Bombyx mori: one gene and its partner. The protein of the gene in region 1 purifies or fractionates together with the protein of each later gene. This does not show direct contact. Links are inferred from orthologs where the notes say so. Each region holds a gene or a part of one and is shown in the gene's direction. Other genes may lie near its edges. The genes, in order: RNA polymerase-associated protein CTR9 homolog and transcription elongation factor B polypeptide 3.

What was found.
Region 2: the proteins of RNA polymerase-associated protein CTR9 homolog (region 1) and transcription elongation factor B polypeptide 3 purify together in Homo sapiens (affinity purification with mass spectrometry; 4 studies listed by BioGRID and IntAct, with this or other methods). This does not show direct contact. The link is inferred for Bombyx mori from reciprocal best matches to the Homo sapiens genes CTR9 and ELOA.

What each region holds. Positions count from the first base shown.
Region 1 is NC_085129.1:3,976,610-3,980,999, forward strand, and holds the start of RNA polymerase-associated protein CTR9 homolog, read left to right. Parts: upstream 1-1,436; 5' UTR 1,437-1,644; coding exon 1,645-1,680; intron 1,681-1,760; coding exon 1,761-1,859; intron 1,860-2,697; coding exon 2,698-2,937; intron 2,938-3,011; coding exon 3,012-3,280; intron 3,281-4,058; coding exon 4,059-4,254; intron 4,255-4,390. UniProt on the Homo sapiens protein: Component of the PAF1 complex (PAF1C) which has multiple functions during transcription by RNA polymerase II and is implicated in regulation of development and maintenance of embryonic stem cell pluripotency.
Region 2 is NC_085112.1:7,690,647-7,694,995, forward strand, and holds the start of transcription elongation factor B polypeptide 3, read left to right. Parts: upstream 1-1,369; 5' UTR 1,370-1,714; coding exon 1,715-1,786; intron 1,787-3,008; coding exon 3,009-3,207; intron 3,208-3,419; coding exon 3,420-3,595; intron 3,596-4,349. UniProt on the Homo sapiens protein: SIII, also known as elongin, is a general transcription elongation factor that increases the RNA polymerase II transcription elongation past template-encoded arresting sites.

The sequences.
Region 1 (4,390 bases):
TGGCGCGTTAAAGTAAACCAAAGCAAATCATCCCACGTTACATTCAGCCTCAGGAAACAAACCTGTCCACCTGTAAGCTTATATAACGAAAACATACCGCAAGCGGAAGATGCAAAATATCTTGGCATACATCTGGATCGAAGACTGACATGGCAAAAGCACATCTGGTCTAAGCGAAAACAATTAGACATAAGGCTAAGAAATATGTACTGGTTGACTGGAGGGAAATCCCAGCTTTCGCCAACAAGTAAAATTTTAATTTACAAAACCATCTTAAAGCCAATATGGACATATGGCATACAGCTTTGGGGAACTGCCAGCAATAGCAACGTCGAGATCCTGGAAAGGTTTCAAAATAAAACTTTCAGAACAATGCTAAGAATACCGCATTACATAAGCAACAAGATCATACAAATGGACCTAAATATTCCCACAGTGAAAGAGGAAATAGTAGCTTACAGCAAAAAATATCAAGCCAGGTTATCGACACACGTCAATAAATTGGCGTCGGACCTAGGAGGCACAGGAGCTGTGCAGTTTACTAGATTAAGGAGGCACAGTATACCTACCTTACACAACAGAAATTAAATCTAACAATAAAAGATGAAGGTGTCACTGGATATCTGATTCTGTTTATAAATCTATTAAGAATAAATTCAGCCAGAGGAATAGCTCATTGTTAACTGAAAAACAGATCGCTACGAGACATTAAAACATAAGAGAAAAAAAAAAAAATTAATTAGAGAAGTTAATATTACGACGGATGCGATGCTATATAAAAAAAAAATTAAAAAAGTTAATCAAAAGAAAATCAATTTAATATGTATAATGTGTGTAGCGCCAATAGATATGCTGTACTTGACTTTTGATTTTCTTTTGGACTTGAGGACTGTATTCTGTTAAATTAAAAGATGTTTATTTTTTGAGATACCAGTTGGCATGTGTATTCTGAATTAGCAATTTTACAGTTTTATATGATGATGGGGTCAGGGAACAATATTTTTATCCAATAGCAACCGCACACGTTCCTAGCGTGATAGCGTCACACACAGCTCGATTATAATTGGTCGCGAAAATTTATACAATAATACCAATATAATAATACTAATGACAAAATACAGATACGATAATTTCACGGATCGAGATCCTCAGCATTGCAGATGCGTGAACAATGTCTAATGTACAAACTAATAAAACTGAAAAAAAAGATCTTCCGAGAACTAGCTTAGGCTAATATAAAAGTTAAAGACAGGTTTGTGTAAGTGAGAGAGATTTAAAGTGAGTGATATATGTATACTGAGCTAAATGATCAAGATGAAAAAATAAATTAATTGACAGACCAATCAATTGAATTGGATCACTGAGCTAGTGATCTAAATGGGCTAGTGAGCTAGATGAGTGATATATATCTTTAGAGTAAAATGATATATGTTCTATGATTATACTAATCTGTGCTCAACAGGATTATGTTGTAATATGTTGGCCTAAAGGTCTAGAAACCAGGCCACAAACTCCAAAAAAAAAAAAAAATTTTTAGTATGTTGTACATACACAAAAAACGCGATAAATATACGTTTTGGTAAATTTTAGTTAGCAAACTAGTGAATTTTGTATAATGAAGTAATTAAAAATAAAAAAATCAAGATGTCGCTGGAAATACCTTTAATGAGCACCGACGAGGTGAAATAAAAACTCTAATTCAGTTTGGCGTTTAAAAAGTGTTCGTGTAACATTTTTATATTAATATTTGATTTCTTTAGGTGATTGACCTGGATCCAGAACAATTACCTTCCGGCGATGAGGTGCTCAGTATTTTACAACAAGAACGCTCACAACTCAATGTTTGGATTAATGTTGCAGTGAGTTAACCTAACCTCGATATTATTCTATTATGGGAAAATAATCATAGCAGACGAAAAAAATTAAAACTTTATACCAATCACAACGTTGCAAATACATGAACTAATATAAAATGCAAGAAAATCTTTAATTAAAAAAGGTTTTTCAACTGTAAATGATCATTTAACAATTAGTTGAGTAAATATGTTTACAAAGAACTTTCACAAATTACTTTACCTTAAACTTATAATGTCAGTTTTAAATATAAACATTAACTGCAATTTTCTTCGTTCTTTTAGACTTACATCAAAATATGTTAAATATACAATCATAAAATAATTTCACACTTATGATACATAATTCGGAGTACACATTTTCATTATTTTTATTGCCTACAATTATCGTAATGGGGGTGTTAGATATTATGAAGCAAACACTGCCAACATGCTGACATGTGTGTCAGCAGTGTAAATGTCACAAAAAATTTGAAAGTATGACTACGTCATGGGAATAGGCAGCTTTGTGGTATCTTATGGGTAGACAATGCACCCTATGAATATATGAATAAATATGCAAATTCATAAAAATTATGGTTATCATATTAATAATTTTATTACACAATATAATTTCTTCGATATGTATTTGTATACATACATCAGGTGGAATTTGATATGATCTAATGTAGTTTGTTGTGGTTGAAATTAATAAAATAAATAATAAAAAGGAATTTGTACAATTTGAGTTTCGGGACATTCATATTTATTATTAACCTGTTATATAATAAGAAACAGTTGCTCTGCATCTTAAGTGTGACTGACTTTATGCTCCAGTTAAAAGTTTTCAACTTTTTATGTTTAGCTCGCATATTACAAACAAAAGAAAATCGATGACTTCCTCAAGATCCTGGAAGCATCACGTACAGATGCCAACATTGACTATCGGGATTTCGAAAGAGATCAGATGCGGGCTCTCGACATGTTGGCCGCATACTATGTGCAAGAAGCTAACAAAGAGAAGTCAAAAGATAAGAAAAAAGAACTATTTACAAAGGCAACATTATTGTACACTATGGCGGATAAAATTATTATGTATGATCAGGCAAGTGAAAAATAATGCATCAGTTAATCATTGCTAATTGTCGCTTTATTTTCTAATAATGTGAAATGTTCCAGAACCATCTTCTTGGTAGAGCATATTTCTGCTTATTGGAAGGTGACAAAATGGAACAGGCTGATGCTCAGTTCAACTTTGTCCTAAATCAATCCCCAAATAATGTGCCTTCATTGCTCGGTAAAGCTTGCATAGCTTTCAATCGTAAAGATTACAGAGGGGCACTTGCTTTTTATAAGAAAGCACTTAGAACAAATCCAGACAGCCCAGCCGCTTTGAGACTGGGTATGGGACATTGTTTTATGAAGCTGAATAATCAGGAGAAAGCCAGGTATCTATATCGTAATAATTATGGCTTGTCTGCAAATTCTGATTTTGGATACTGGAGGTCCTGGTCCATTACTGCTATTAAGAAACTGTTTCAGTTTGAATAGCAGAGTAACTTAATCCTTTGCACTTGAGATTTCGAAGTATTTGTTTATGTGTAACTTGTGATCCCATTCATGTCAAATATGTTAATTCACCAGCTTGGGCTTTTAGACATATTTGCATATCAATAGAAAACTGTGAATAAGCTTTAAACAAAAGTTTCAAATCCAATCATTTCCATTAAAAGTTAAAGAAATACCAAAGTGAAAAACAGAAAAAGTCCCTCCCTATGGCATATTGCAATGAGTATTTGGACATATAACCCAAGCAGGCGGTATGTCGTAAACTTATGTTGTGTCATGACATATCAACGCCCAATGCCGCATGATAAGCGGTCATGCCGTCCCAACCTGACATATATGGTATAAGAGGAAAAAGAAGTGTAATTTTGATCAAAAGTCATACAGTATATCTGTTGTAGTGTTTACTGGAGCCCATATCTTAAGACATGAGATTGAAATCTCTATTATATTGTATGAACAAAACTAGGGGTACTACATTGCATACAAAAAAAAAGAAGTACACACACATATATATATATATATATATATATAGTTTTAAAGCATTGTAGAAATGGTGACCTCTTGTAAAGCGCACCACCACCCCAAATGATGACCACGACCACTCTGTCAAGAGTGCAAAAGACTGAGAAGAAGAAATAATAAATATATTTATTGCAGGATGGCCTTTGAAAGAGCTTTACAATTAGATCCACAATGTGTAGGTGCTTTAGTGGGACTTTCCATTTTAAAATTAAATCTGCAGGAGAGTGAATCAAACAAAATAGCAGTTATTATGTTGTCTAAAGCCTATGCTATTGACCCAAAAAATCCTATGGTTCTAAATCATTTGGCCAATCATTTTTTTTTCAAAAAGGTGGGTTGTTTGCTGTTTGCAATAAACTATTTGTATAAGTAGTCTGTTTCCCAAGAACAAGATACTTTTGGAGTAGACATGCTTCAGCACAACATCAAAACTACATTACTACATAATAATTTGAGTCTTGTTATCC
Region 2 (4,349 bases), on another chromosome or scaffold:
ATAAAATTTTCATAAGCAAACATCGTCTCAACAATCCAGTAAGTAGGTATGCGTGAAAATTTAAAATTGAAAAACTCCATCCCACATAGTTGTTGAGATAGGTAGAAAACGATAAATTTTAGACCGGTTTGATTCGGATCTGCAATACTTGATTCTAAATTTAATATTAAACTTACATTACAGATTTCAATTACCCATATGTATCTATTCGTAGGTTCTTTTTTCACAATAAATAAGTGTATTATGCATGTATTTTAACTACCGTATATACTTCTTTAGGACACTTTAGCGGGAATACGAAGAGCGAAGTTGTGTGGATTGTTTTATTTACGTAGCTTCTCGGATTCTTCCAAAAAGTCCATTGAAAAAGGCTCAATAATTAACCACATTTTTTCTGAGACTATATTGCATCCCATCTCATTTTGTTTCATTTCATTTTATCCCAATTAATTACAGTCTCAAATAAAACAACTTTAACTTCTATTCGTTCCATATCATTTTTCATATTACCAATTTAATCTAAGAAGAAAATAATATAAGGCTTGGCTTAAAGGTCTCGTTACCTGGCCCTAAAATCTTTAAAACGAAGGTGATTTTGTCTCGAACTAAATATTGACGTATTTAGACTAAAATCTAGACAAATTACTTTGAATTCATTCAAATTACATAGAAGAATAACTCCATCTTCAAATTGCTTAGAATATTTTCGGAACATAGTCTTGCTTTGCCAAAGTTTATGCCAATTTTAACGTCTTTAATTTTATGTTAGCTGTACGTTGCTGCAATATTACACGTAGCGTAGGTAGACCTCACAAAAAGGGAACCAACGACCTGTCGTTCTGGCGAGGCCTGGGGAAGGCCTATGTCCAGCAGTAAACGTCTGTGGCCTAAACGATAAATAAATAAATATTTAACGGTACATTGCGGTCAAAGAGCAAACACTTTTTAAAATCTGTTTAAACATATGCTATTTCTTTACACTTTTTGCCAATAAAACAATTTAAAAGATCTGTCGTATGAGCAACGTACTCTGTACCTATTCAAGAGAAAATAAACATTTAAAAATGTCTTTGGTAGATTACACTAGCAAGCCAAAAAGCTTTTGGCTACGAATGCGAGGAGCGAAATTATGTGAATTGCTTTATTTTGTTCAATTAGTGCTTTTTCAGGTTTAAATGTCTAATAGCTATATAGTTTAATAACTGTTTAGCATCCGCAAAAGCGCACAAACGCGGAAAAAGTCGCCGTGGTCTAAAGGATAAGAGGTCCGATGCATTCGAATGTAGCGATACATCGAGCCAGTGATCGATGAAACAAAGCCGCTAGTCGTAGCTTCTCGGGTTCTTTCAAAAAGGCCTATGAAAAAACTCAGAAAATAACCACTATTTTACTGTTACCTTAATTCATCCAATGTCATCTTATTCAATTCATCTCATCTCAAATTATTCAATTTCATCTCATTTCGTTTCATATCATTTTTCATATTGTAACAGAAAATAAGAAGAAAAATGGCTTTGGCGAAAGGGCTCGTTATCAAGTCATAAAATTATCAAAAAAAAACTAGTACCTAAACCAAAGCCGTCTAAAAGGTAAAAACCAGTCAACGTCATTGACGCATGAAAAAGTGACAAAAATGGTGCCCGTTTACCAGCTGGCAGTGGCTATCATTGTCTGATGAAAAAAATCAACCCTTTTGTTGTAATATACATTTGGAATGGCGTCTGTTTTAGAATTAGTTAAATACTACCAACATAGTCTGGAAAAGAATTCTCACGACGAACCGAAAGTAAGTGAAGTTTTCAAATATTGAAGACTAATGAATTTCACAGCAATAGGAAGTCGATTGGAAATATATTCAATATTTACTGAACCCAAATTATGCAGTGAGGTGACATACGGTTTTACAACGAAACTTTTAACGCTATCAATACTGAATACAGTAAAAAAAAAACTGACGAAAGTCCTCCGACAAACTTTAAAGTTTTTACAAGGAAAACGTTAAATAAACTATAAATGTTACAAATCATAAAGATAAGATACAAGTATAATTATAATAACTATCAGAACGCAAATCATATATCAGATATAATATAATTCATCAGCACTCGACCTCAAAAATATACAATAACCCTACTGAACTTTTATTAATCAACAATAAAAAGGCAATGTGCAACAAATGATTAATAACTTATCGTATTTCAATGTGAAACATCACGAAAAAGTTATTAATCTAATTGACTGAATGAAACACAAACATTCACCAGAAGTAAACCCTTTACGTTAGTTATTAAGCTTGAATATCCTAGTGGAACGGTTGAAATCAAGTATTTATTCTTCAATTAAATGTATTGTTTTGTAGTAATGAAATAAAAATATAAGAATAACAACCTGAAGAATAAATATTCAAATTAAGTTAGCTAACTTTGGCAATATAATTTTTGGAAAATAGTTTTCATTGTATGATCCAAAATTTAGACACTGATTTGTGGTCAACTGTTTTTCGTCAAATTTATTGTAATGAATGTTATTGCATCAACGAAGACATTGTTTTTGTGAGACTTTCTGTAACAGCACAAAATTTATTTTTTGTCACTCAATGCTTTTAATCTGTTAGTAGAGATGACAATTATCACAGCATGAAGTTAAAAGCTAACAACTATGGCATCTGTTAAAATTAGACATGGTAATTATGTGCTAAAAAACAAAACAATGGTCATTAGCCCATAGTGACTTACGCTGTTGACAAGGCTGCTGCCTTAAAGCATTCCATCCAGTCCAAAATAGGGTTAATAGAAAAGAAAGAAAAAGAAGAAAAGTAGAATCTACTCAATAAAGGAAAATGGTTACATCTTTGTCATAAACAAATAGTGTTTGTAGAGGGACAGACAACTTTGTATTGTCTTATTAAATTCCTAGTACCTCTAATAAATTACTTGTGATAAACCAGATATTGTACCTGTATACCTTATAATAGTATATTATAATACCTTAAAATCTTTATTTTTTAGATTTTAAAATGCATAGACAAACTGAGTCACTTAGATGTGACAGTTCAACACTTACAAGAAACAGGTATAGGCCGGACTGTCAATGCATTACGAAAAGAACCAGGAGATGTTGGTCCTGCAGCCAGGGCTCTTGTTTACAAGTGGAAAGCAATGGTAGCAGCTGAATCAAGCGATAATGAGGGGGAGTCAAATACAGAAAGTAAGTTATTCTTTAAAACTTGTCATGAATTACCACTTTTTGTGATGGTGCTAAAAATTTTTTTTTTATCATTAATAGCTTCTAATACTATCAGTTAATTTCATAAAAGTAAGATACTGGAAGATTATTATATTTGCTTATAGCTTGAAATGATTTTTCCTGTAGCCTTGTTACATTACTACTTGAAAACTTGCTATGATCTAATTTGGCAGACACTCACAATGGGCAGAGAAATGATAAAGATAGAGAACCTGATAATAGTCAATACACTAAAAACCAATCTGAACATCGGGAAAGCATTTCAACTGCGCCTAAAACAAATCAACAAGTTCACAGAGATATGAATGGCCACCATGGTGGCAGCAAGAGGAAAAGCCATAGCAGTGAGGTAAATATTATTGATATTTTATAAAATTGCAAGGTTAATGGAATATAAAACAATGGTAAACGTCATAGTTTTAATTTTTTGAAAATCCGGTTGTTTCTAGTGAAAGAACATAACATTGCATAGTTGTTAGGTTACACATACATGATTTTTAAAATGCTAAAGTTTTTATAACTCCATGTCTTAAGTGGAAGTAGTTTCAGAATCAAACTAAATACATCAGATTGTTAAATAGGATTAGGGAGGAAAAATTACAAGTGTAGGTTACTTTATATAATAGAGTAATATAATAATATAGCTTGATTTCATAATAAAATCGGCTTTCCTAGACCATAAAATATAATAAAGCTACTTTCACTCTGTGTAGATTTGTGTCATCAAAAATACTGTTTAAACAAAATCGTCCATGCCATTTGCATAATTAAATTCATTTTGCTTAAATTAACATTGGTGTTGGTCGTGTAGAATAGATTAGGTATATGAAGGACTTAATTTATTTAATTTGCTCAAGTGGATGCTTAGAGAAGTTATATGTAATATGAAACTCCAATTTAATGTAGTTTTTAGTCAACCTTACAACTTTTGACCAACCAATAATTTGAGGTTGGTGTATCAGAGAACAGGATGTTGTGGTATATAATGTAATATAGATAAAATAAGTTGAAGTCTGTTTTCTTCTAACTCGTTTTATTTGTATTTTGATAAAAACTACGCTATCATTAATTTTCACATTTTTGTAGAACTAACACCGGGTGTT